Macaca fascicularis: one gene and its partners. The main gene of each other region encodes a partner of the protein of the gene in region 5 in a complex. Links are inferred from orthologs where the notes say so. Each region holds a gene or a part of one and is shown on either strand. Other genes may lie near its edges.

Evidence for each region.
Region 1: the proteins of RAN (region 5) and IPO13 are in contact, whole or in part, in a crystal structure (PDB 3ZJY), measured with the Homo sapiens proteins. The link is inferred for Macaca fascicularis from reciprocal best matches to the Homo sapiens genes RAN and IPO13. Residues at the interface, in NP_006316.1 of Homo sapiens: Lys37, Lys38, Tyr39, Leu43, Gly44, Val45, Val47, Pro49, Trp64, Gly74, Leu75, Arg76, Asp77, Gly78, Tyr79, Ile81, Gln82, Asn103, Arg106, Asp107, Arg110, Val111, Tyr147, Trp163, Arg166; in NP_055467.3 of Homo sapiens: Leu33, Tyr34, Tyr35, Ile39, Lys42, Gln46, Leu49, Met50, Gln53, Glu73, Tyr76, Phe77, Ser80, His83, Ile84, Ile118, Thr121, Arg122, Val125, Val172, Glu175, Glu176, Thr179, Ser414, Asp415, Arg784, Asp785, Pro787, Asp788, Pro829.
Region 2: the proteins of RAN (region 5) and RANGAP1 are in contact, whole or in part, in a cryo-EM structure (PDB 9B62), measured with the Homo sapiens proteins. The link is inferred for Macaca fascicularis from reciprocal best matches to the Homo sapiens genes RAN and RANGAP1. Residues at the interface, in NP_006316.1 of Homo sapiens: Asp18, Gly20, Tyr39, Val40, Ala41, Thr42, Leu43, Gly44, Val45, Glu46, Glu70, Lys71, Leu75, Arg76, Tyr79, Asp91, Thr93, Ser94, Arg95, Val96, Thr97, Asn100, Lys123, Asp128, Arg129, Lys130, Lys132, Lys134; in NP_001265580.1 of Homo sapiens: Ser29, Gly58, Asn59, Thr60, Asp86, Thr89, Gly90, Arg91, Leu92, Arg93, Ile96, Asp121, Ala123, Phe124, Gly125, Asp127, Asn151, Cys152, Gly153, Met154, Gly155, Arg189, Asn190, Arg191, Gln217, Asn244, Asp245, Asn246, Thr247, Asp273.
Region 3: the proteins of RAN (region 5) and NUP50 are in contact, whole or in part, in a crystal structure (PDB 7MO0), measured with the Homo sapiens proteins. The link is inferred for Macaca fascicularis from reciprocal best matches to the Homo sapiens genes RAN and NUP50. Residues at the interface, in NP_006316.1 of Homo sapiens: Arg29, His30, Thr32, Gly33, Glu34, Phe35, Glu36, Phe52, Val124, Asp125, Ile126, Lys127, Ser153, Asn154, Tyr155, Phe157, Glu158, Phe176, Ala178, Pro180, Ala181, Leu182, Ala183, Pro184, Glu186, Val187, Asp190, Pro191, Ala194, Tyr197; in NP_009103.2 of Homo sapiens: Pro344, Pro345, Lys346, Val347, Val352, Lys362, Cys363, Lys364, Phe366, Tyr367, Lys368, Asn371, Glu372, Phe373, Lys374, Glu375, Lys376, Gly377, Ile378, Lys384, Lys390, Gln392, Leu394, Arg396, Thr399, Asn400, Leu401, Asn403, Ile404, Leu405.
Region 4: RAN (region 5) and XPO5 share a complex: the UniProt entries of both Homo sapiens proteins name them as parts of the nuclear export receptor complex. The link is inferred for Macaca fascicularis from reciprocal best matches to the Homo sapiens genes RAN and XPO5.
Region 6: the proteins of RAN (region 5) and XPO1 are in contact, whole or in part, in a crystal structure (PDB 7B51), measured with the Homo sapiens proteins. The link is inferred for Macaca fascicularis from reciprocal best matches to the Homo sapiens genes RAN and XPO1. Residues at the interface, in NP_006316.1 of Homo sapiens: Lys12, Lys37, Lys38, Tyr39, Val40, Ala41, Leu43, Gly44, Val45, Val47, Trp64, Glu70, Lys71, Gly74, Leu75, Arg76, Asp77, Gly78, Tyr79, Ile81, Gln82, Val96, Pro102, Asn103, Arg106, Arg110, Val111, Glu113, Val124, Asp125; in NP_003391.1 of Homo sapiens: Leu35, Tyr36, His37, Gln43, Arg44, Gln47, Leu50, Thr51, Lys54, Glu55, Asn74, Tyr77, Tyr78, Gln81, Lys124, Val125, Lys129, Met132, Leu173, Glu176, Glu177, Phe181, Gln185, Lys266, Thr269, Glu270, Asp313, Gln316, Asn317, Gln320.

The regions. Positions count from the first base shown.
Region 1 is NC_088375.1:190,804,866-190,809,025, forward strand, and holds part of IPO13 (importin-13), read right to left. Parts: intron 689-4,160; coding exon 548-688; intron 441-547; coding exon 299-440; intron 191-298; coding exon 24-190; intron 1-23. UniProt on the Homo sapiens protein: Functions in nuclear protein import as nuclear transport receptor. Serves as receptor for nuclear localization signals (NLS) in cargo substrates.
Region 2 is NC_088384.1:10,324,953-10,329,645, reverse strand, and holds the start of RANGAP1 (ran GTPase-activating protein 1), read right to left. Parts: upstream 3,324-4,693; 5' UTR 2,778-3,323; coding exon 2,651-2,777; intron 2,242-2,650; exon of another isoform or gene 2,130-2,241; coding exon of another isoform or gene 2,117-2,129; intron 1-2,116. UniProt on the Homo sapiens protein: GTPase activator for RAN. Converts cytoplasmic GTP-bound RAN to GDP-bound RAN, which is essential for RAN-mediated nuclear import and export. Mediates dissociation of cargo from nuclear export complexes containing XPO1, RAN and RANBP2 after nuclear export.
Region 3 is NC_088384.1:6,428,490-6,433,291, forward strand, and holds the start of NUP50 (nuclear pore complex protein Nup50), read right to left. Parts: upstream 3,047-4,802; 5' UTR 2,731-3,046; intron 1-2,730. UniProt on the Homo sapiens protein: Component of the nuclear pore complex that has a direct role in nuclear protein import. Actively displaces NLSs from importin-alpha, and facilitates disassembly of the importin-alpha:beta-cargo complex and importin recycling.
Region 4 is NC_088378.1:127,949,888-127,954,047, reverse strand, and holds part of XPO5 (exportin-5), read right to left. Parts: intron 4,040-4,160; coding exon 3,918-4,039; intron 2,994-3,917; coding exon 2,921-2,993; intron 1,379-2,920; coding exon 1,241-1,378; intron 1,075-1,240; coding exon 892-1,074; intron 1-891. UniProt on the Homo sapiens protein: Mediates the nuclear export of proteins bearing a double-stranded RNA binding domain (dsRBD) and double-stranded RNAs (cargos). XPO5 in the nucleus binds cooperatively to the RNA and to the GTPase Ran in its active GTP-bound form.
Region 5 is NC_088385.1:137,993,278-137,997,028, reverse strand, and holds the end of RAN (GTP-binding nuclear protein Ran), read right to left. Parts: intron 3,078-3,751; coding exon 2,907-3,077; intron 2,808-2,906; coding exon 2,763-2,807; 3' UTR 1,022-2,762; downstream 1-1,021. UniProt on the Homo sapiens protein: GTPase involved in nucleocytoplasmic transport, participating both to the import and the export from the nucleus of proteins and RNAs. Switches between a cytoplasmic GDP- and a nuclear GTP-bound state by nucleotide exchange and GTP hydrolysis.
Region 6 is NC_088387.1:60,385,312-60,390,057, reverse strand, and holds the start of XPO1 (exportin-1), read right to left. Parts: upstream 3,154-4,746; 5' UTR 2,476-3,153; intron 1-2,475. UniProt on the Homo sapiens protein: Mediates the nuclear export of cellular proteins (cargos) bearing a leucine-rich nuclear export signal (NES) and of RNAs.

The DNA of each region.
Region 1 (4,160 bases), on a different chromosome or scaffold from region 5:
AGGAGCTGGCCTGCTACCATCACCTGTAAATTCGGAACTGCTCCTTCTCGTCTGAGGACCAGAATCCATATTCCTCATCAGAAGGGAACTGGGCCTTGTGCAGAAGCACATCCACCAGCTGGAAGTAGACTGGCCGGTACACCTGCTGGTATACAGCCTGCTTCTCTGCCTCAAAGGATAGAATATCATCCTGAGAGAGCCAGGGAAGACAATTAGCCACCTCACCAGCAGCCATAGAAGCCCATGATCCACCTTCTTCCACCACAGCCCAGTCCTACTGGAGGTCACACAGACACACCTGCAGCGTGTACCAGAAGGTGAGGGTTAGGGAGCTGGTGGTCTCATTGACAGGATAGTGGCCAGGGATGCCTGTGCAGAACATAATCATGTTGACAAGTGCCAGGAAACTCTGCCAGTGCTCTACTTGGTCCAGCAAGGCCCTGGGGAGGAGGAGACACAGTCAGGTCATTCTACCTCTCCAGGGACTTCCATAACCCCACCTCTTAGAGGGCCCTACTATCCCACCCCCAGCTGCTCCACCCCTTACCGGGAGTGGTTCTCGCCCAGGGCCACAGCGATGCGACAGATGCCATGGGAGGTCTCCATGTCCCCGTTCTGCACTGCCTGCCGCAGTTGTTCCTGCAGACCCAGCACCAGCGGGATGAGCTTCAGGAGCGTGTTCACGTACCTAGAGGCATGAGGTAAGAAAATCCATCAGAGCTCTCTGCTCACCCCCACACTGGCTTTAAGAGAAAGGCATAATCTCCTTGTCTTCCTTCAAAGCTCCCCTCCCCTTATTAAATCCTAAGCAAAACAAGGGTCAGGGTCTACATGGCAGATTTGATGTTCCCTATGTTGGGAAGAACCTTAGGTCAGAGCCCCCAGAACTCTGAGAGGGAAGTATGAGAAGGCTGGTATTACGGGTTGAATTGTGTTCTCCAGGTGGACTGCGAGCTGATTCCAGAATGGGTGAAGATTTTGTTTTTTGAGATGGGGTTTTGCTATGTTACCCAGGCTGGTCTCGAACTCCTGAGCTCAAGAGACTCGGTCTCCTGCTCAGCCTCTGGAGTAGCTGGGATTACAGGTGTGAGCCACCACGTCCAGCTAGGTTACAACTTCTGGGGAGGTTGAGATGAAGTGAATATAGTTTGCATGTGGTGATAACATGAAGTTTGGGGCGCCAGAGGGCAGACTCGCATGGGTCAAATTATGTCCCCACAAAAAAGATACGTTTTTTGATAAATCCTAATCCCCAGTACCTCAAAATGTGGCCTTATTTGGAAATAAGATAATTGCAGATGAGGTTATACTGGAGTAGGATGGACCTGAACTCCAATATGACTGGTGTTCTTATAAGAAGACATCCATGTGAAGACAGAGACATACAGGGAGAATGCCACATGAGGACTAAAGTAGAGAGTGGAGTGATGCAGCTGGAAGCCAGAGAACACTGAAGACTGCCAGCAAACCACAGAGCTAGCAAGAGGCAAGGACGGAGTCTCCTACAGGTTTCAGAAGGAGCTCAGCCTTGCCAACACCTTGATTTCAGACTTCTAGCCTCCACAATTGTGAGACAATGAATTTGTTTGGTTTTAAAGCCACCTAGTTTGTGGTACTTTGTTATGGTAGCCCTAGGAAACTGATACAGTCTGGCAGGGGTGATTGAACAAGAGTGGGAGACAGACGAGTAAACACAGGCTCAGAAGCCCTGATTAAAAAAAAAAAAAAAAAAAAAAAAAAAAGATTTTGGAAGGCAGCAACAGCTCATGAGAGCATCAACCCCTGCCATCCACTCTACTCTCTACCACCAAATCCCAACTCTTGAGGAGTCTGGTGGCAGCACGGAGGGAGAGAAGTAGATAATGAACTCAGAGCTAAGAGGCCAAACAGACAGGATTTGACGACTGACTGGATATGAGGAAGGCGAAGAATAAAGGCAACTCTCAGGTCACTGGCTAAACAACTAAATAGATGGTGGAGCTATTTACTGAGACCTGTGGGGTGAGGAATGGGGAATAGCAACACCTTTAATGGGAGGTGGAAGGTGATAAGCTCAGTCTTAGATAAGTTGATTCACAGACACCTGATAGGTTATGCAGGTAGAAGCATCTAGAAAGAGTTGGATATAAAACCCTGAAACCCAGCATAGAGGTTAGAGCAAAAGCCATAGATTTGAGAGTCATCAGCTAACAGCTGGTAATTGAAGCTACGGGAGTAGATGAAAATTGCCCAGGGAGAATGTGTTGAATGAGAAAAAAAAATAAGAGGGTCCAGATCAGAGCCCTGAAACACAACGATCTCTAAAGGAGAAGGATAGATAGCCCAGTATACGAAGGGGACTGAGAGAAGCCTGGCTCAGCCCACTGGATCCCTCTTCAGCACCTTGGTCTGTGGAGATGAGACTAAGCAGAGGAAGCCACGCTCTAACAGTAGGGATCAGGTGCTTGGGACCCCTCTGTTGTCAATCATAATGTCACCATAGCAATCTATTTTAGGGAGTGGGGGACTGAGGATCCCAGAAGGAGTTCTATCTGGACTTGCCCCAAGCAGGTTGCTAGGCAGTAGCCTCATATCCTTGGTGGGAGGATGAGAATGACAAAAAGAGGCAACCAGCCCAGGGACATCGGCCTCCTTCTCCACATCCCCATTCTGGTAGGAAAAGTCATCCATGCCAGGATATCCCCAGCCCAGAGACAGCCCCAGGGGGTGCTGCCTGGAGACGGCTGGGATAGCTTCAGTCTCCTGACCCTGACACGGGCTGCACCACCAGACAATGGGCATTTTCAGGCCAGACTCTGGCACAAAGACAAGAGGCAGGGCCAAGGCTATGGCCCACAAGCTCCTCAGCAACTGAGATGGGTGCAGGAGGTAGCGCTCTACCCCCATAGCATCTCCACTGTATTCTAAGGCTCCTTCCTCCACCTGCCAAAGTTTATGCAGACGGCAGATACTCAGTGAAGGTTCTTAATGTGTCTCATCTGAGCCTCATAATAGAACAAATCAAGGATAATACAGCCTCAAAGGGCTCAGAGTATCATATCACTCAAGGTCATACAACTTAGAAGCAGAATCCAGGTTGAAACTTCCCCTTAAACTGCTACAGGTCTGCTTTTCTTTCAGGGCCCAACCAGGATTTCCCCAAAGGATCTATGTGCATCTCAGCCCATATCTCCAGTGCTAACTGATGGGAGCCCCCAACAGCCTGCCTAATTCACTTTCCCTCCCTCCCTAACTCCCAAGGAAAAGCTTTTCCAGCATTAAAAACATATTTCTGGAAAAAAAATACATTTCAAAGGAGAGAGCCAGGAAGCAGCAGCAGCTGTGGAGGAGCAAGAAAAGGGTGACTTGAGTGCAAGCTTAGCTAAGGGGAGGGCCAATGTCAGGACACCTGGGGAAGGCGTGCCTGGATGACCCAGGAGTCAAAGCCACTGAAGGTGACTTTCACAAGCCAAAGCTGGGAAACTAGACTGGGTAGAGCAAGGACCAGGCTCGGATTCTGGGTTGGATGCAGCTCACCCATGGGAAGAAGTTCCTGCATAGATTTCCTACCACCTGAGCACCTGTGTCTGCGACCTGTGAGTGGACAGAAGAACAAGTCTGAGGTCCCAGAGGTTTCTAGGTTTGGGGGAAGGAGACAGGGAGGATGTCTTTACGACCACAGCTGAGGCTGGGTTCAAGAGGCCTGGCTCCAATCGGTCAGTTCAAGTAGCTGAGGCAGGGCTGCTGGGACTCCTCCGCTGCTGCTCACACGGAGCTCAGCCCAGACCTGCAATTAGAGCTTCACTTCAGGAGCAGAGCTGAGAAAATGGGGAGAGTTGCTAAGCAACCAAGGGGCTGCAGCCAATGGGCGCCAAGGAGGCTGTGGGTTACCTCACTGGCTCCTTGCTCGCTCATTCGTTCAGAGGAGAAGGGGCATCAATTACCTGCCAAAGCCCTTGAGACTGGCTGGGCGGGTAAACTTGGGTGTATCCAAGGACACCTCACATCACCCACACACTTGCCCTGATCTGTTTCCCTTAGTCACCAACTGTCGGAGCCCACCCAGCACTTGAGCTTCAGGCTGCCAAGAGAGGCCTTGATCTGGGACTAGGTATCCACCTTAAGCTGGAAAGCCTGGGAAGCCGGGGGATAGGTATCATAATAACTGCCAACACAATAAT
Region 2 (4,693 bases), on a different chromosome or scaffold from region 5:
TGACCTCGTGATCTGCCCACCTCGGCCTCCCAAAGTGCTAGGATTACAGGCGTGAGCCACCTTGCCCGGCCAATAAATGAGAATTTTTAAAACAACAAGTAAACCTTTAAGAACTCCTGCGCCTACTCATGGTACTCCAGCTTTACTTGGAGTACATGTGAGATTAAACGTCTCTCGTGTACTGCCTGACAACTGAAGCCAGCTATATTAGACGGGAACGTGGAACATCACTACATACTTGTATAGTGTTCACTTTGTGGTATGAATAAATGTGTCTGTGAGATGCTCCAAAAAAAGAGGAGAAACAGCAAGTAATCAGGACAGACCAAGGAAGCAGATATGAGGGGCAGAACTAGGGGGTGCTATCCAAAAGGCCTCCTCCTACAGCCTCCTCATTCTCAGATACAGATGTGATACCCTGAATCCTGCCACCCCTAGGCTTCCTCTGGGTTCAAACTTATCACCCTGGTTTGTCTATGTCTTTATCAATAAGCATGAATTATTATTCTGGGTAAGGTGTCCACTCATTCATTCAACAAAACATTTGAGTATTACTGTGTGCTGGATATTGTTCCAGGTAACAGAAGTATAGCAGCAAAGGAAACAGAAACCTTGACCTCTTGAAGCATGTGTGCTAAATGACACATTTAGTATGTGATTTTAAAAAGGGGGGGCGTGGGAGTGGTGGCTCACGGCTGTAATCCCAGCACTTTGGGAGACCAAGGCAGGTGGATCACAAGGTCAGGAGTTCAAGACCAGCCAGGCCAACATGGTGAAACCTCGTCTCTACTAAAATACAAAAATTAGTTGGGCATGGTGGTGTGTGTCTGTAGTCCCAGCTACTCGGGAGGTTGAGGCAGGAGAATTGCTTGAACCCAGGAGGCAGAGGTTGCAGTGAGCCAAGATCACACCACTGCACTCCAGCCTGGGTGACAGAGCAAGACTCTGTCTCAAAACAAACAAACAACAACAACAAAAAGGCATTATTAGGAAATAGTTAAATAAAGATGTCAGGGATTGGGCCATGCACACATCTGGGGGAACACGATTCCTGCAAAGGGAATAGCAAATTCAATGGCTCTTGTACGGGCAGAGGGTTGGAGGAACTGCAATAGGGCCAGCGAGGCTGAAGCACAGAGAGACAGGAAAAAAAGGAGTTAAGAGACGAGAGAGTTAACAAGCGGCCCAAGTCATAAAGGCCATTGGAAGAACAGTGGCTTTCGCTATAAGTGACAAGGAAAGTCACTGAAGTTTCTAGCAGAGACAGATGTCATTTGACCTATGTTTTGACAGGATCACTCTACTTGCCACACAGAGCCTGGCATTCAGAAGGTGCTCAAGAAATGACCAGTTGAAACTGCCTAAAAATTAACCAAGCCAGGTGCGGTGGCTCACGCCTATAATCCCAGCATTTTGGGAGGCTGAGGCGGGCAGATCATCTGAGGTCGGGAGTTCGAGACCAGCCTGGCCAACATGGTGAAACCCGTCTCCACCAAAAATACAAAATTAACTGGGCGTGGTGGCACATGCCTGTAATCCCAGCTACTCAGGAGGCTGAGGCAGGAGAATCACTTGAACCCAGGAGGCAGATGTTGAGGCAAGCCGAGATCGTGGCATTGCACTCTAGCCTGGGCAACAAGAGTGAAACTCCGTCTCAAAAAAAAAAAAATTAACCAGAGTCGGGTGCAATGGCTCACTCTTGTAATCCCAGCATTTCCAGAGGCTGAGGTGGGTGGATCGACTGAGCCCAGGAGTTAGAAACCAGCCTGGGTATGTGCTGAAACCGTCTCCATTAAAAATACAAAAACTAGCTGGGTGTGGTGGCGGGTGCCTGCAGTCCCAGCTACTTGGGGGGTAAAGTGGGAGGATCACTTGAGCCCTGGAGGTGGAGGCTGCAGTGCGATGAGAGCTTGCTACTGCACTTCTGGAGACCCTGTTTCAAAAAAAAAATTAACGAGAAACCAGCCCAGTGCAGTGGCTCACACCTGTAATTACAACACTTTGGGAGGCTAGGCGGGAAGATCACTTTAGACCAGGAGTTCGAGACAAGTCTGGGCAACAGAATGAGACCCTGTCCCCAAAGAAAAATTTAAAAATTAGCCAGGTGTGATGGCACCTGTAGTCCCCATGAGTTGGGAAGTTGAGGTGGGAGGATCGCATGAGCCCAGGAAGCCAAGGCTGCAGTTCAGCGGTGATTGTTCCACTACACTCCAGCCTGGATGACAGAGGGAGATCCTGTCTCTAAAAAGATAAAAAAAAAAAAAAAAAAAAAAAAAATTAAAGAAAAACCAACAAAAAATTAACCTGAAACCCCAGCATCTCTTGCAGTTCTGAGATGGGACAATTTGAGGGTAAAAGGTGTTGGTGAAACCTCCAAATAGAATAGGGACAGAACTTCTCAGCTGAAAGGGGGCCTATTCCTCAGTCCAAGAGAGAGCCAGACAAGGAGATGCACTCCTCCACACACACTTTATAGACCAAGAAACTGGAGCACAGAAACGTGAATTGATTTGTCCAAGGTCAGCAAAGGGTCAGCACCAGAGCAAAAGCAAAGGGTTAATAAAGAAATATCCTCTCCCCGCTCCGCAGCAGCGTCGGAGACTTTCTGAGGTGAGATGCATGCTCCTGCAAAGCGTCAGCAGTGACTCACATCGATTCCAGGGACAGCGGCGCCAGCCCGGGCCCCCCGTTGGCGTGGGCCTGCTGGGAGGCGGCGCCGCGGGAGCGACTCGCGAATACAGGCCGCAAATGACAGGCGGGCGGCGCGGGAGACCCATCTGGAATCCCCGGCGGACTCGCACCGCCTCCGGTTGACAACGATGCTAATATGAGACGCCACTGCTAGCAGCTGCAGGCTGAGCTGCTCCGGCGAGTCAGACGCCCTTTAAGCCTCGGTTTCCCCATTTGTGAAAGAAGCCAGCGCCGCCCAACAACCCCACTCTCACCGCCACCCCGGGGCGCTCGGCCATCGAAGACTTAGTGAAGAAGGCCGAGGGGGCAGGCAGAAGGTGCACTGGGGCGCCACGCCCTCCTCGCCCCCACCCCTCTTCCAGGCAGGTGACTGTGAAAGGAAAGGGACCCTGACTCTACCGTAAACAGGCGGCGCCGCCGCGTGGGGGTAACCGAGCACGCGCCTCCGCCCGGTGGGGCGGGGACGGATTTAGGGTCCGGGTCAGGCCGGGGTCGCCACCTCCAGGTCCAGCGGTCCAGATGTCCAGCTGGCTTGTCTGTCAGCTCTCTCGCGCTCGGGGCCTCACGCGCTTAGCACCACCTGCTCTCCGCACCGCGGCGGATGATGGCGGAGGAGGAGGATTTTGAAAGCCGGCAGTTTCTTTGCTTCGATTTGATTTGTTCGAGGCCCCGGCCGGCTTGCCCTCGCCCCGCACGCGCGGCCTCTCGGGTAGGGTAGTCCCGTTCCCCAGCTGGGGGCGCGACAGGGCGCGCGCCGTGAACTACCCGTCCCATGGCGCACCGCGCGCAGAGCGTCCTCACCGCCCTCCTCTTCGCCCTCCCCTGGCGGCTTCTGGGTCTTTCTCGCAGAGACCGCAGGGCGGTGTTCAGCCGGGAAGCACCCAGAGACTACAATTCCCAGAATGCGTTGCACCCAGGTCCCTCAGCTCTTCCGGAAAGGTTTTGTTCGCGTAACTTTGTTGACACAGGTACTGCTGGCTGCTGGGTCTCTTCCGCAAGACACAGGTATCCATTTGCCCAGATAAAGTGCTCTTTTCCGTCCCATGAAACTGAAAGGGCATTCGAAGCCTTCCACATAAATATGCACAAATTACCTGATAATTAAAAAGGGGAAATAGTAACTATCGTAGAGAAACTGCAGACACCGCTTGAACGGCCACGTTAACATCAGCAGCAGGACAAGCTGACATTCATCGCACGCTTTCTGTGTGATGCACTGAGAAAAACACGGCGTCACCGTCCGGTCTACAACCTTAGCCTAATCACGAGAAACCCAAGCTGAGGGACATGGTACAGAATAACGGATCTGTACCCTTCCCGAAATGTTTGTATTATGTTAGACAAAGAAAAACTAAGAAACTGTTGCCGATTACAGGAAACGAAAAAGACAACTGAATGCAATACATGGTCCTGGATCGGATCCTGGGTGGGGATTGCTATAAAGGACAATACTGAAACAGCAAAATTTGACTGTATATTAGATAATAGTATTGTATCAATGTTAAATTTATTAATTTCGATTATGGTACAGGGTTATGTAAGAGACTGCCCTTGTTCTTGGGGAAAAAGAGATGAAATAATTAGGGACAAAAAGGACATGATGTCAGCAACCTTTATGGTTAAGAAATACACATATACATAGAGAAAGCAGAGACACAAATGTGGCAAAATGTTAGTTAATCTAGTTGAAGGATATGGGAGTTATTTGAACCTTTTTGCAACTTTTCTGCAGGTGTGAATTTAAGCATAAAAACACAAACAGCGTTTTTTTTTTTTTTTTTTTGAGACGGAGTTTCACTCTTGTTGCCCATCTCGGCCTCCCAAAGTGTTGGGATTATAGGCGAGAGAGTTCGAGACCAGCCTGGGCAACATAGTCAAACCCTGTCTCGACAAAAAATACAAAAATGAGTTGGACGTGATGGTGCATGCCTGTAGTCTCAGCTAAGGGACTGAGGCAGGAGGATCTCGAGCCTGGGAGCTTGAGGCTGCAGTGAGCCATGAT
Region 3 (4,802 bases), on a different chromosome or scaffold from region 5:
TATACGGATTCTTTTTTTTTTTTTTTTGAAACGGAGTCTCGCTCTGCCGCCCAGGCTGGAGTGCAGTGGCCGGATCTCAGGTAACTGCAAGCTCCGCCTCCCGGGTTTACACTGTTCTCCTGCATCAGCCTCCCGAGTAGCTGGGACTACAGGCACCCGCCACCTGGCCACCTCGCCCGGCTAGTTTTTTGTATTTTTTTAGTAGAGACAGGGTTTCACCGTGTTAGCCAGGATGGTCTCGATCTCCTGACCTCATGATCCGCCCGTCTCGGCCTCCCAAAGTGCTGGGATTACAGGCTTGAGCCACCGCGCCCGGCCCTCTATACAGATTCTTTTAGCAATTTTTCTACTCATTAACTAACATCTCCGCCAGAGGGTCGGAGAAGTAAGAAGTTGCCAATGGTCACATATGCTATTTAAGATTAACTGTAGGGCCGGCGCAGTGCCTCACACCTGTAATCCCAGCACTTTGAGAGGCCAAGGCGGACAGATCACTTGAGGTCAGGAGTTTGAGATCAGCCTGGCCAACATGGTGAAACCCCACCTCTACTAAAAATACAAAAATTAGCTGGATGTGGTGGTGGCACCTATAATCCCGGCTACTCGGGAGGCTGATGCAGGAGAATCTCTTCAACCCGGGAGGCAGAGGTTGCAGTGAGCTGAGATCGCACCAATGCACTCCAGCCTGTGTGACAGAGCAAGACTCCATCTCAAAACAAAACAAAACAAAGAAAAAAGAAAATTAACTGTGGAGAAAAAAGGGATGGAGCTGAATGCACAAAAACTGTAACAGTAAAATTTTACCTTCTAACTCATACCCACAATGAAGAGACAGGTGGCACAGCAAAATAGTCTAAATAAATGTAGGGGCTTCCACGTTCTAACACACTCATCAGATCAGTATATAACCAAAAGGCAGGGATCTTTGTTTTGTTTACAGATATACTCCAAATGTCCCAACAGCGCCCAGCTCAAACAGCAGGTGTCCTGTCTATCATTAGATCAATGAGCTGGGGTATTGCATAAAGTATTTCAAAAAATACTGAAAGATCTGGCGTCCCAGTTTTGCCATTTTCTAGCTGTGAGAACTTGGGCAAGTTATATTTAATTTTTGTGCCTCAGTTTCTTCATCTGTGGAACAGGAAGTATTAAGAAAGTTAAGATAAACAAAGATTGGCTTAGAACACTGCCTGGAGCAGAGGACGGGCTTAATAAATTATTAAACAAACAAGTGTTATTAGAAGCAAAGGCTATAAACTACCATTTTTCCTCCAAAACGTAAAAGTTGTAGCATGGAAGAATAACTTGGATTACAAACCAGACTTTTAAAAACATTTTACCTAATCCCTATTTTATTTCAAAGCATGACACTTCAGACAATACATTTTACTTCTATGCTACAAGTGGGGGGCGGGGGGGAACCCTCTGTAAAATATTCTGAACAAGGCCTGCCACCTGGCCTTATGTCTAGCTACTATTATGAAGAACTTAAGGGAGGCGGAAGAATCACTTGAAGCCAGGAGACGGAAACCAACTTGGTCGCTACAAAAATAAAGATGGACATAGATTAGATGAATAAATAGAAATAAAAAATTAGCCGGGCGTAGTGGCGCACACCTGTGGTCCCAGCTACCTGGAAGGCTGAGGCAGGAGAATCACTTGAGCCCAGGAGCTTGAGGCTACAGTGAGCTACTACTACACTCCGGCCTGGTGACAAAGCAAGACCCAGTCTCAACCAAACAATCAATAAAAGGGAATTTAAAAAGCGTCTGCGCTTGTGGGTAAAAAACCACCAAATTCGACATGATTTCTAGGTATGAAGCAACGTGGTAGGAGACTGAAAGTCTAGGCAAACTGGAAAAAACATTATTTGTGCCTGATATAGTTATGTGGTCTCTGGCATCTGGTGTAGCTCTGCCCTTGGAGCTCAACTTGTCAACATCAGCTTAAAACGAAAACACGGATTTCGTTATACTTAATAGTGAGGTGCCTTGTTGAAGGGAGAGAACAAGCGGGCCAACTAAGGAGACAGAAATACCGAATCTCCAAACTGTTTCTTAATGGAACCGAGCAAATGGGTGATCAATGACCCGGGAACGCAGTAAGAAAGTGAAGCTAGGCCAGAGAGGTAATGGGCCCAGGAGAAAAGCGACGAGGGGTGGCCAGGGGGAGAGGAGAATCGAGAGGAATCGCTAGGAAGGAAACGGAGACCACCACGCCAGGACAGCCCTGCCAGCCCCCTACCTCCGCCGGGGCCGCAGGGGCGAGCCTCACTCGAGTCGGACGCCGCAGCCTGGCGAGGCCCAGGACCCGCTTCACAAACAGCCCACGCTGCGTCGCCGCTGTCATCCCACCCCACCCTCCACCCGTCGCTGCCCACCCGCGCGCCCCGCCCGGCACGCGCGCCCGACCCAGGCTCCCTCCCTAGGGTCCCGGCCCCTAGCCCTGTACCCCACTCCCCAGTGTCCCGTCCTCCAGCCCCTCCCCAGGGTCTGGTCCCCCGGCCCCGCACCCCTCCCCAGGGGCCCGTCCCCCGGCCCCGCACCCCTCCCCAGGGGCCCGTCCCCCGGCCCTGAGCCCTCACCCCTCTCCCCAGGGTCCAGTCCCCAGCCCTGCACTAGCACTCCCCTCCCAGGCCCGAGCCCGCTCCCGCCCTACCGGCCCTGGGCTCTCAGCACCAGGCTCCCGCCCTCAGCCCCTTCCCCTCCTGCGCCAGCCGCCGCCCCTCACCTCCTCGGCCGCTGCCGCAGCACTCGCTAGGTCTTGGGTGCGGCGAAACCCGGGGCGCGGCGGCGCTGGGGTCTGGAGCGTACTGGTGGTCGTCTGGCTGAGCGCGCTCGGCCGCTTCCGGTGCTGCCCTGAGGGCCTCAGAGGACTTGGTGCTCGGCAAGCCCAGAGACTCAAACACCATGTCCCCGGGGAGGGGGAGCTCCTCACGCTGTGTTCGGCAGGGAGGCGAGAGAGCCGGTTCAGCCCGAGACCGCCGTAGTAACCGCGCCGAACACGCTCCGGGCGGCCATTTTGTAACTCGAATCTACCCCCAAAACCAATTCGAAAAAAAGGGAGGAAAGAAACGCCCGCGTTCAGCTACTGCGCAAGCGCGCCGGGACCTCCGGTAGCAGCGCCTCCTTCCGCCGGCCGGGCCCCTCACGCGGCGCATGCGCCCAGCTCCCTAGAAACCGGCGCCGGGCTGAGCGTGCCCGTCTCGCGCAAGCGCGCACGCGCCGACCTTAATCGCGGAGCCGGCGCCGGCAGCGGCGGCTTGGGGTGTTCGGCTCACGTGGGGCTGGCTGCGCGTCTTCCGGGCTGTTCTCGCGCTAGTCGCTGCTAAGGGGCCGGCCATGCGCGAGGAGCTGCGGCGAGGAAGGTCGGTCAGTGGACATGGCCGAGGCTCGCGGTGTCCGTGTGTGGGAGCTGCAGGGCTGAGGAGAGGCCGCCCGCGACCCTCGGGAATCCTGTGAGGTGCCAGTGGGATCGCTTCACGTCAGGAGGCCCCGCCCCGGGGCTGGCCGTACCTGGCCGGGGTGGCCCGGAGCGGCTGGGTCTCGGCGCCAGGAGGGGACGTGTGGACCGCCTGTTAAAGGACCCCTCGTTCGCTGACGTTTGATTTTGCGTCGCGTGGCTTCTCTTCTGTTTTTTTTTCAGCCCCTGAGATCCCTTAGTGCGTCCTGGGCACTGAGCTTTGTCACCCAGGCTGGATTGAAGTGGCGCGATCTTGGCTCACTGCAACCTCCGTCCCCTGGGTTCAAGCGATTCTCCTGCCTCAGCCTCCCTAGTAGTTGGGATTTCAGGTGCCACCACCGCGGCCCGAACCCGTGTGGAATGTTTCACTTTGACCAGTGTCTGCGAAATAGCGGGGGGCATAGAAAATGGTGCAGTTTGGACTAACAGATACGGCGACATCAAAATGTTTCCTGGGTCTGTTAAGTCCTGGGTTTGTTAACATTATTAATCTGTTCCTGTAACCCTAAATATCTTATTGTAAGGGTAAGCAAAATAATGAACACATTTAATTCTTAATTACACATTGTAGCATGAAATAACTGATGCTTTTCTAATACAAATAAAAAAGATTTATGTCTATAATAGCACTGTAGCTGACTTGAGCCTTTCTGGATGGATTTCACTGCTGACTAAAATGACAACTTTAAACTGGCTATAACTCAGGAGAATGGGGGCACTTTGCACGCAGACATCTACCTCCATTGAATTTGGTTACTTTTAATGAAGCTCAAGTCTCAGGTTATGAAATACTGCCCCAAAGGTGTTAGCCACTTTTTTCCTATACTCTGCCTTTCAAAAATCCCTTTCAATTTGCTTAACCCCTGAGAGCCGAAGGACTTTGATGGTTGTTAGGTTGGGTCATTGTCATCATGTTCAGTAAATAAATATCCAGACATGTCAGTTTACCTACTTGACCTAATTCCAAACGAGTCCATGGTGATGTGATCCTGCCTTTCTTTCTGCTGTTAGAGGTCTATGCCAGGAGCCAGCTTTGTCTCCGTTTTGCCACAGTGATCAAGTCATAAATGTCTCAGATCATTCAAGTCCAGTTTAACCTAGTAAAGAAAATTGCAAGATAATACTGCTGTATTCTAGCTGTGTTCTGGCCTGCATTTTAGGTAGGCTTAAACCTTGACCTGGAGTCATTCTTGTTACGATTTACCAGAAAACACCCAACAGGAAGCTTACAGAACTACACTTTGCTCCTACTGATAAGGAATGAAAACAGGAAATGTTCTGTTTTCTGCCTGGCAGTGGGGCTTTGGAGTTAATCTCCTGGCCATATCACTTCCCAGCTT
Region 4 (4,160 bases), on a different chromosome or scaffold from region 5:
CCCAGGAGGCGGAGGTTGCAGTGAGCTGAGATTGTGCCATTGCAGTCCAGCCAGGGTGACAGAGTGAGACTTCCTCTCCAAAAAATTAAATACATAAATTGTATCTTCTTTTTCTTTCTTTCTTTTTTGAGATGGAGTCTCACTCTGTCACCCAGGCTGGAGTGCAGTGGCGCAATCTGGCTCACTGTAAGCTCCGCCCCCTGGGTTCATGCCATTCTCCCGCCTCAGCCTCCTGAGTAGCTGGGACTACAGGCAACCGCTAGCACGGCCGGCTAATTTTTTTGTATTTTTAGGAGAGACGGGGTTTCACCATGTTCGCCAGGATGGTCTCGATCTCCTGACCTTGTGATCCACCTGCCTTGGCCTCCCAAAGTGCTAGGATTACAGGCATGAGCCACCACACCCGGCCTCAAAAATTAGTATTTTCATAAGGAATTTCTGAAAATAAGAATAACACCTAGGGCTGGGCGCAGTAGCTCACACCTGTAATCCCAGCACTTTGCGAGAGCAAGGTAGGTAGACCACCTGAGGTCAGGAGTTTGAGACCAGCCTTGCTAACAGGGCAAAACTCCATCTCTACTAAAAATACAAAAATTAGCTGGGCGTGGTGGCACATGCCTGTAGTCCCCGCTACTTGGGAGGTTGAAGCAGGAGAATTGCTTGAACCCAGGAGGTGGAGGCTGCAGTAAGCCGAGATCCCTTTTTTTTAAAAAAAAAAAAAAAAAAAGAAAGAAAATGAGCTCTAGCTTTTCTGTCATTTCTTAGTTTTTTACTTTTTTGCTTATAAAATAGGCTTTCATTTTGCTGACCTAGACACCCTAGTTCCTTACTGTAAGATTAATCAAAAACATATTGGAAAATACAAATTTTATAGGTAGGGGTATCCCTTACCACTTGCTGGTACTTGTTTACATTTTCTTGAAGTGTGTTAAGCAGAAAACTGAAGATCCTTTCCATGTTCTGGGTTAATGTTTGCTGGATGTCCCTTCTTCTTTGAGGGGGAAGTGTCTGAAAAGTCACTACATCCTCTGCCAGTCGCAAAAGGATAAACATCACCAATTCTGTCTGTGTTTCCTACACCAACAGAAATAAGCTAGTTAAAAATTAAAATATCTTTTCATTTTATGTATATCCAAAGGCTATTTTCTGTTGCCAAAAAAAAACCCACAAACAAAATCAAACAACCCTGAAGTTTGTTCCAAGGAAAAGTATACCAAACTGATATAGCTGTGTTTCATACCCCTTGTTTGGAAAGAATGTCCAATTCTATTAGCATGTCAGGCCAATGCTGTGGCCACTCTCGCTTGATCATTTCTACTACAATTCGAGACAGAGCATCTTTAATATGGTTCTCTTCTTCCAAAATGTTCAATGTTCCCTGAAAAAGAACAAGAGATATTAAGAGATATGCAAGACGGGATTCCAGAATTCCAGAAAAAAGCCGGGCTGTAGAGTTGTACAAAATTTATCAGCAGGCCTACTTTTAAACCAAACAGAACAAACGAACCTGTTCTTCATGCCTGAGTCACTTGTCCTGCATTCTCACTAATCATTCTTCCACTTAAAGGTTAAGTGAGGGTTGCATCACCTAATAAAAAGGCTGTCATATAGAGAGCTACGATGACATCATTATTCTTTACAAAATGAAAAGATTCTCATATTGACTGTTTCAGTTTGCAGAAGGCCAGGGAGGAAGAGTATAGAAATAAGGAGTATAGTGAGTAGCTGGTAAAATGGAAGGGTATGAAGGAGCAAATGAATATTTTACCAATAGTTCTAATACTAGAAGACGCAGAAGTATTAGAAGATACAGATTCCATCTTTCATGTCTTTTATTTAAAAAAAAAAACAAGAAAGAAAAAAGGCTACAATTTTGAACATGTTTAAAGTCACATATTCTGTTTTGTGTTTAAAGAGACAGTCATCCAGTCATCACACCTGTAATCTCAGTATTTTGGAAAGCTAAGGTGGGAGGATTGCTTGAGGCCAGGGGTTTGAGACCAGACTAGCTTGGGAAACATAGTGAGACCCTGTCTCTTTAAAGACAAAAATAAAATTAGCTGGGCATGGTACCACATGCCTATAATCCCAGCTACTTGGTAGACTAAAGCGAGAAGATCACTTGAGCCCAGGAGTTCAACACTGTAGTGAGCTATGATCATGCTAATGCAATCTAGCCTGAGCAACAGAGACCCTGTCTCAAACAAAAAAAAAAAAAAAAAAGAAAAAGTCATATTCTAATACTTGAAACAAATTCATCCCGCATACTTAAAATTCTGCATCTTTTTCATCACTATTATCACACAGCAGTTGTTCGGAATAAAAGAAAATAAAATAGACAGTGTTTCAATCTGATTTAGATCTAAGAATCTTACTGATTTGTTGAAAATATTTAATCCTCTCTGCCCTGTCTTTATAATTTAAAAAATAGAAGTCAATGCATAAGAGTGATTAATCAAACCTAGTAAGAGACATATACTGAATTATGCTGTTTTTTTTTTTTTTTTTTGAGATAGAGTCTTGCTCTGTTGCACAGGTTGGAGTGCCATGGCACCATCGCAGCTCACTACAGCCTGGACCTCCTGGGCTCAGGCAATCCTCCCACCTCAGCCTCCTGAGTAGCTGGGACTACAGGCATGGGCCACCACGCTCAGCCAGTTTTTGTATTTTTGGTAGAGATGGGGTCTCACTGCATTGCCCAAGCTGCTCTCGAATTCTTAGACGCAGGTGATCCTCCTACCTCGGCTTCCCAAAGTGCTGGAATTACAGTTGTGAGTCACTGTGCCTGGCCTGAATTATGATTTCTTGTGCTGTCTGACCTATTTAGAACCAGTGAATTTTTACACAAACTCTCTATTGAAGAAGTCACGCTTTGCCTAAACTACCTTGGAAACATGTCTCCCAACCACCCGTTCCTTACATTTGCAATCAGCTCCATGACACTGTTCTTCAGATAGACCTTCTCCAATCGAGACATGCCGTTCCACCGAAACCTGGCCACCAAAATGCATAAAGTCAATAGAACCACTTTAGAAGTCTTGCCTTTACAAGAGAATAGCACTGATTTCTACATTTGATTCCACTGGAGATTTCATTACGAAATTATACTTTTGATTTTGTACCCGTCAACAAATGGACAAAAATGATCTACGTTTAACCAAAATATTAACAAAAAAATTCTTGGGAAAAGGTTTTATACATGCAGTGGTCCATTAGCTGGAATCTGCACAAGATTTGTACCACACATCAGTTTCTCCTCATGATTTTATTGATGGGCCAAAATTGAATATACATCTAGGTCAACTCCAACAACGTACTCCAACAAGTGCAAGCAATGTACTTGCTTTTCAGGAAATGCAATTTTGACATCACTCATTTTCTGTGCTGGCTTACAAAATAATTCCAGAAAAACTATGGCTAAGTCTTGAAGGCTACCTCTTCTGGCAGGTGTTGAGGGTAGGACAATCAAGTTAGGAGGGGTTTTCAGTTATTCTCATATAATCCTACTTTGGATGTACTACCCAGAGAAAGCACACAAACTCAGAAAGAGAGAGAGAAAAAAGAAAGCCCCAGTGCCTAATGAGAGATTTACTGACCTATACATTGCATTACTCTAAAAAGGCTTCTAGGGCTACTGGCACATAGTCAGAGCTCAGTAAGTATTGGCTAAATGGCAGGTAATAATTGTTGAATGGGTAATATGTACCACACACTTTACATGGATGAAGAAACTAAAGAAAAGAAAGGTTAAATCTTGAATGAGAGCTCCTGTGAGGTTCTGATAACATCTAGGGGATCATTCCTTTCTTCTTGGAGACTGCTCTTCTCTACTCACCTAAACAGCATCTCTATAGGTTATATAAGATATAAAAATATGTTCTCTCAGACTTCAGTGGTAATGTCCAAAAGCTCCTTACTTGACAACGTGTTCCAGGATCTGAAGGCCAAAATGTCTGACGATGGCAATCTGTGTTTTCTCAGCCAACCTCAAGCCACAGGGGACACAGATAGGACACTTTTCTTTAAATTCTTCACAAAACTGAAAGAAGAAAAGTTAGTGTTTCCTTTGGAGGGCTGAGAGAATAGGGACTAAAGAATTTCATCTTAAGAAACTCCAACCAGGGCCACACCTGTCCCAGGACTCTGGGAGGCCAAGATGG
Region 5 (3,751 bases):
AGAGCAATCTGTGATGTCTGTAGTCGGACATCTGACTCACTTAAGGTAAAAACCAGTGAGTGAATTCTAAAGCAGGTAAAGCATTAACTGGTAGGACTGACTTCAGGAGAGGTAAGGGGGAGTTCTGAAAAGCAGTATGCACACAGGTGTGTGATCTCAGGATGCACGTGTCACCAGAGCTTGCAAGACCTTGTAGGAAATGTGGAGCAAGAGAGATGCATCAGATGTTTTTTGAATTGGACTCTGACCCCTTAACTAAAGATAAGGTTTCCGTGCTGAGGTGCGGTTTCTCCCCAACATGCCCTAGGCTTCAAGGGTAAAAGGTGCTGCAGGGAGTTAGGATGGCTGCTGTCCTAGTACAAGGTCTGCCTCACACAGGGAGAGCTTAGTCTCACGTTATCCTGCTGGGCAGGACAGCCCTGCACAGCCCCAACGTGGCAGAAAGCATCATACACGATGTGTCAGTTTGCCAGCAAGAAAAGCTGAATCCAACCCTCACCCCATTTGCTCAGCGGGTAATTTTTTGTGTTCCTGATGTTTTTGCAGAAGAAACCAGAAATTCTCTGTACTTGAGTTCCTTCAGGTGAACAGTTAGCCAGGAAACCAGTCCTCTTTGGAGGTTATTTTGGAGTCTCATCTTTTCCAGACATTTTATGATTAAAAAAAAAAAAAAAATTCTATATGGGTTTAAAAAAAAAAAAAAACTGGCTCTCACACAAATTGAAACTGCTCTCCAACATTTTGCCCGCTAATTTACCAATGTTTCACATTATATCCACACAAGACCCATGCGTTAACTATGCTTTTTCTTAATGACGTTGCTCGAATAAGCTATTACTAGTTTGCAGTAACTTCGTATAAAGCTTTCATTAGATTTCAAAAAAGGGAGAGCCAACTTTTCCCATATGTACAATCTGGAGAGAAATGACCCCTTCCCCACCCCACCCCCCACATAAAAGATAATAATCTCTGCTAACTAGTCAGTATTTCCTAAAGCAAATACTACAGATGATTCAAAAAATCCAGGCAAAGTCGAAGCAATATATTTTGCAACAATTATTCTTTCAATAAATGACTTGTAAATTCTCTCCCACACCATGTTAGACAGGTAAGCGACGTCACTTCCAAATTTCAACTGTTACATAGAAGATCCAGAATGTCAACACCACTTGCAATCTACACAAGGTTACAAACAACACATACACCTTCAATTCAAAATATCTGAATGAAAGGTTTCATCCCAATTATGGGAAAAAAACTTCCCATCTCACAGGCTGGTTAGAAACTGGTTCTGAATACAGCGTAACATACACAGCAATTCAGATCTTAAGAAACTCAACTGTTGCCAGTTAATACAGTAAGTAGAACTTTATTCAGCTTCACCCTTGTTTCATTTTTCCATATATGTAAGTGATCCTTTCTATACCTTTTAAGGTAAGTAATCACCTCAAGATAATCAGACATCTAAAGAAAACTTTGGTAAACTGGACTATAGTAATTGTATGAAAAAAAAATAGCTCTTAAGATTCCTAACTGCTACAATAGTGTTGATGGGATCAAATCCTAATTAGGATAGAGACCTAATTCATTTTTAAATGTGGGAAATATACAAGATTAAATGCTTAGTTTGATAAAAATAAAGGTTTCACCAACTGTTCTCCATTGCTGAGAAGCCCCCACACTGCCCCACTATGCGTATTCCTAGTATTTCATCCATGTCCTGCTCTGCTGTGCTGCCCTACAAAAAAATCCTTAGGAGGAAAAAAAAAAATAAACGGTGTAGTGTGTACTGCTTAAGAACTTAATGTCCAAGACATCTTTAAAGTCCGGGAGTACCTGAAAACCGTGGGTAAACATGGACCATTTTCCTTGCGTATCAACTTTACACTAAGCATCTAACATTCAAAAAGTGCAAAATTTGTACTTAACAGCAAGAATTCCCAAGCTCCTGCCATCCACTGATATTCCATCCTGTTTGAAGTTCTACATTAAAACATGATTACTTTTGCCATAAAACAAAAGTATTACCCTTAAAATATCTATTTCATATATACAAACCACATTATTTTTTATTCTGACAGGTCACAAATTTTGAGCAAGTTCTTCCCTAGGTGACCCTACCTAGCCAAAATGAAGGTGGAGCAAACATTGCTTTAGCTTAACTGCACTAATATTTACACCATGTGACCCTTCTAACCAAATAGAATACTGCTGATCTGCCATAATCAGTTTGTGCGACATGGCTCAAATGTACAAAAATAAAAAGTAGACATAGGGAGAAATTAACCCAATAGATTTCAAATTAAGCGATAATAGCAAGGCAATTCAAATATTAACATGGCATAAAATTTCCCTATTTTAGCGATTTCCAAATGCTATTTATAAACAAGGGATGAGTTCACTTGCTTAGATATTTGAAATACAACTTTATTCTGATTCTAAACGAAAAGGAATGGGAATGACAGTAACAAAACAAGATTTCACCACTGAATATTGTGATGTGACTGTAGCAGTCTTATATTTGAAACTCAAGGAATCAACTGCGTTCCAAAACAACTAAATATGCAGGTCCAAACAATGAAGGTATTTTTTAAACTGCCACATTCACTCCGAAGCCCACTCATCTCCTTCAGCATCCCACAGATGAAGCACATGTTCCGCTTAGCTAGATAATAATGAGGTGGCACACACGCTGCACCGCTGACATCACAGGACAGCTGCCTATAAAACTAGACTTCTGACGCTGGGCTCCAGCTCCATTCTCACAGGTCATCATCCTCATCCGGGAGAGCAGTTGTCTGAGCAACCTAGACGAAGAGATGAAAAAATGTTAACACTCCAGATCAAAACTGCCAGGAATATACAAGTCAAACGTTATAGCCTAGACAGCAAAGTGGCCGTAATACCTCTAAGTCGTGCTCATACTGCGCTGCCAAAGCTGGGTCCATGACAACTTCCGGTGGGGCAAGAGCAGGCATGGCAACAAATTCCAAGTTAGGGTCTCCAATGAGCTTCCTAGCGAGCCAGAGGAAGGGCTTTTCAAAGTTGTAGTTACTTTTGGCAGAAATGTCATAGTACTGTTTAAAAGAAAATAATTTTTACCTTTTAAAATTCATTAAGATGACGATTTTTCTAGGACATGGCAAGACAAGAAAATGTTAAGATTCTTGGCAAGGCATGGTGGCTCATGCCTGTAATCCCAGCACTTTGGGGGGGGGCTGAGGTGGGAGGATTGCCTGAGGCCAATAGTACAAGATCAGGCCTGGGCAACAGAGCAAGATCCCATTTCTACAAAAAAACAAATTAGGTGGGCATGGTCTTGAATGCCTGTGGTCCCAGCTACTCAGAAGGCTGAAGTGGGAGGACTGCTTGAGCCCAGGAGTTCAAGGCTGCAGTGAGCTATGTTCATGCCACTGCACTCCCGCCAGGGCAACAGGGCAAGACCCTGTCTCAAAAAACAAAGAATATATAAATACACACACGTATCTCAGTTGACCAACCCGGACAACAGTGAAACCCCATCTCTATCATTCTTTAAAAACAATAGTATAAAAAAAGACAAAATTATTTCCTGCCAGCACAGTGGCTCATGCCTGTAATCCCAGCACTTCAGGAGGCCGAGGCAAGTGGATCACTTAAGGTCAGGAGTTGGAGATCAGCCTGACCAACATGGTGAAACCCCGTCTCTACTAAAAAAAAAAAAAAAAAAAGTACAAAAATTAGCCAGGCGTGGTGGTACATGCCTTTAATC
Region 6 (4,746 bases), on a different chromosome or scaffold from region 5:
TCATATGCAACGCTATCCTTTTAAGAGGATTCTACTCTAAGATGCTGGCACACATCCAACTTTTTGTTGCCCAGAATTATAAAAAATATCTTTCCTCTGCTTTTCTTCAAAGCCAATGCCACTCAAACCTAACTGGTTAAGTCAGTAGTCCTTAACCTTTTTTGGGGTCTAAGATGCCTGAGACTCTGAGGAACCAATAGCTCTAACCTAGTTTTTAAAAACTCATGATTCTGTATACAATTGTAGAGGATTCAGGACATCCTGAAAGCCATCCATGGCACCCCCGGTTTAGTGTATTTAGAACTAACAAGGTCAGATCTCCGCTTCTTCCCATTTTAGGAACTTTCATGGACCAGAAAATGAGTAGCTAATTTCTTTACACTGTATTTGGACAAACTAGCTTGGCAGGGGGGAAAAAAGGCGTTAATTCCTGGCTATTTTATAACAGCTTAAAAATGTCCATAATAATGGCAGCAATTTCAATTTTAATGCAAATGTCTCATTTAAATATAACGTCTGTTACAACAGATTAGAACTCCAAAAAATGAGTCACCTATGACTGACATGATGTAAAAATAATGTGAAACTCAAGAAATTAGGAGTTCAAGAATTGGTCCATTATTGACAAAACTGATGAGACTTCAAAATATTTTGTAGTAGGCATTAAACAAACTTTTTTAAACAGCAGGATACTTGTTACACACCACAAAAAAAACCCTTAAGATCTAAAAACTGAGAGGAAATATATATTCCACAAATGAATGTGTAAACTCTCCACCTTCAACTACTATAAAATTTAAAAGATCAGAACAATCTTAATTATTTGAGGCTTAAAAGCAATGTCCACAAAGCATCAAGATCTACGTATCAGAAGTTTTCAAATATTTCGGTTAATTATCGAACAAACTTTTCACCTATTTACTCCTACAATAGTTTAATGCCAAAACAAAAAAGGATTAAGAAAATGACTCTTCCAAGTTTCACTTTCAAATACACTGTCCTTATAGAATTCTCCGAACTAGACTGATGTGAAAAACGAGATTTAGAATAGAAGGATTTAAATACAGTAGTTTGCCATCCTTAGAACTAGCGGCTGTCTTCGAAATGACCTACCTATTCTTGAACTGTACATAGTACAGAAATGGCGGCTTTGTGGTCAATGCCAAGCACATTTAGTCCCCCAAACCAAGCCGCTTCCAAAACATTCTTTCCACTAACAGCAGCGTCCCACACTTAAGATATACAATCAGACAGCAAACAAGTCAAAGAGGGAGAGGTGTAACCACGAACGCTCATTCCCGTTGGGCTCTTCAATCCTAAAATCCACTCACTGGATAACATACACTAGGGATTATCCAGCTTAATGGATAATGTTGTGACTCTACAAGTGACCCCCAATGCCAGTTCCTATCCAAAACCCAGGAAATCATAACCGTTGCTTAATAACTTCACACTAGGTGAAAAAAAAAAACAAGTCGCTACAAGGCGAAAGACTGACTGCTCCTTAGGTGTGTGGGCAACCGCCTGCTTCATTCAGGAGAAACACACCTCACTAGGGCCCGCCCTCCCCTGGCTTCCCACCCGAACCGATTTGCAGCCCTTCTAACTATAGCACACGGGAGCACGCACTCACCCCGCCCATACTCGGAGGAGGCATTTAGACCAGGCGCCTTAAGTTCAACGCCCCTTTCTCTATGCAGCATGGCCTCGGCGTGATCAGAGGAGGTCCGGGCTGAGCCAGTAATGAATGCTTCCTCTACTACACCACTTCCTCCCACCCAACCCAAACTCAGACATCGGAATGAAGGAGAATCAGGGCATCCTCCACTGTACGAGGCCAGCAGTAAATGGTTTAACCAACTTATCACACACAAACCCCTGAAAAGGAACTACAAGACGGAATCCCATGTGCAGGCCCCTGAAAAATTCATCTTTCCTACTTCACATGCCACTCTGCAAAAAACCGGAGAGCTTTCGAGTTTCCTTGCTGGAGGAACAGGGAGTCGGCAGCCCCTCCCTCCCCCATCCCAAGCTCTCCACCGAGGGGGCCACGTGATGCAGGCGGACGTTTCAATGCTGCTGCACTAAATATTTCTGGAAACTTCCACTCCTAATAATTTACAGAGATGTTCCTGAAATCACCCCAACTTCTCCCCAGCCCGTGGGGCTGGGGAAGCCCTTCCACCCCGCGCGGGGCCCCGTTTCACTATCACGCTCCTCGCCTTCCTCCACCGCCACCCGCACACGCGAATGACCCAGCAAGCGCTCCCCTCCCGCGGCCGCCTCCCCGCCTCCATCCCCCAGCGGCAAAAGCGGCTCCATTCAATCGCAGGCTCCGCTGTGGGCCCGGCGCGCCCCCGGCCCGCCCGCCGCCTCCTGGGCTCGCTTCCCGCGACCGCCGCGCCCCACGCTGGCCTCCTCCCGCCCGGCCGCGCCGCCGCCCGACCCTCGGCCCCAAAGACACAGTCGACTTACCCAGAGATTGAACCAACTGCTCCTTCCTTCCTTGTCGGGGGATTAGGGCCAGGGAAGGTGGGGAGGGGGAGAGGGGACGAATCAAGGTGGGTTTCACAGTTTTCCCACCTTAAAAAAAGAAATTAAAAAAACGGAGAGGAAAAGGGCAAAAAGAGCTCAATAATATTTACTATTTCAGGGACGCTTCCCCCCAACACACACACCCACCCGCCCCCCAAAAAAGAAGGGGAATTAATCTGGGGAATAAATGCTCCCGCCCGGCTGGGGAGTGAGGGAAGGGGGAGGGAACCGGGTCAAGTCCCAAAGATTCAGCCCCAGGGGGACCCTCCAGCCACAGGCAGCAGCAGAAGCGGCAGGAGTAGGGGGTGTAGAGTCCACACGGCCGGGGGGACGCTCTGCTGCCAGTTGCAGTCCGACTCCCCCCTACCAAAACACGGCTCCCTCTCTCACGCGGCTCCGGCGCTGGGCCCCCCCCAGGCTCGCCTAAACTTTCCCCCCTTCTCTTGCTCCTCAGCGACTGGTGGTTCCCCCCTCCCCCTCTGGGTGGTTGCACGGACTGCAGCAGCAAAGACTGGAACAGGCACCGCCGCCGGGGCTGTAGCTACTGTTGCTCTTGCTGATGCTGTAGCTCCCGCTGCTCCTGCCGCGGCCGCTGCAGCCGCTTCTCCCCCTCCTCCTAGTGCCTCAAACTCGGAACCGGTTGAAACCGGTTCAGACTGGGAGATTCCATCTCGGTTGAGTTTTCAGCCCATGGCGCCGCGGAGCGTTTGGAACCTGGGCCTCCGCCCCCAGCCCGCCCTCCTATTGGTCAGTTCCAGCTACAGCCGCGCCATGAGCCTATCTCTCATTGGCCTGAGCGCCAGTCAATCCCACCTCAAGGCTCCACACGAGCCCGCCGCTTCGGCCCCCGCCTCTTTTCAGCAGCGATTTGCCCGCAGAGTGGGGGAGGGGAAGTGGGGAGGGTCGAAAGGCAAGAGGAGAGGGGTGGAGGAGGAGGAGGTGGGACGAAGAGCAGGGCTAAGTAGAAAAGAGAGCGAAGGAAAGCCGCGTGGAGGATTCGTTCGAACGAGCTGTCAATCAAGTGCAGCCCGCCCTCGAGCTCTCGACTTCCCTTCCCCCTGCGGCCCTCACCCTCCCAGTGCCTAGTTCGCAGGCCCGGCCTTTCCCGCCCGCTCATTGGCTGGGCGCCTTCGGTGACGGAGAGGGTGGGGCGCAGCTCGTGAGCTAGTGGCGGCGCGAGTTTGATCGCGGCGCGCGGCGGTGTTCGATCTGCTTCCCGGACTCGGCCGGCCCGCCCCCACCGGCTCCCGCCAACCTGCGGGGGCCTGAGCCCGCGGGAATTAGGATCCGCCCCTCAGATGGGGGATGCGTTCGGAAAAGGGATGGCACACCCAGTTGTTTTGAACTCTCGGAGGGGTGGAGAAAGGAGGGAAAGGAACACTTCCGAGGCCAATTGTAGGCCCCAGACCTCTAATCCATTTTAGAGGCCTGGGTTGGGCCAGGTAGCTGAGAGAGAGGTTGGGGTGAGGCGCAGGGCGTGCATTCTTGGCGCCTCGTGATCTTCTCAGGGTCTCGGAAAATATATCGAAATACTTCTTGGGAAAGTCTTAAAATTTCAACTCTGCCTCCCCAGGCTGGAATTTGGCCGCTTCGACAACCAACCTTTCCTGAAAGCCAAAACATTGTAATCCCAGGTTATTGGTTTGACAGCGCATGTTTTGGCTGGGTGAGCTTGCATGCCAACTGCGTCCCACCTGGTGCCCTTGATCTGCAACACTCAGATTTTCCTTTCACCCTAGCGGCACTTCACATACTAAATCATCACCAAATAGTATTTTCTGTGAAAGTCACATGCACGTTGTCTTTCACGTGGTTGCGTCTCTTGTTTGTTCCCAAGCGTCCTCCAAATCAGCTTTACAGATTGTTCTTTGCTTAAGAGCAAATAGCCCACCAAAATTTACTAGGCCCTTTGTGCCACCAAGAGGTAGATAAATGGTTTATTGAAGTAATACAATTTTCTTTAGCAAATGTTCGTTCACGATGGACTATGACTAACTTCAAAGCACCACTTATTCTAACTCCCCCTCCAATAAAGAAAAACCCAACAACTCAATGTTTAGATGCACCAGAATGATTTTGGATGATTTTCAGACCTAAGTTTTTATTCATTACATAAATGAATAATATCAAGCCATTTTATATACATATATACATACATATATAAAGTACTATGTATGATATGTGATGTACAGTTGGCCCTCTATCCGTGGG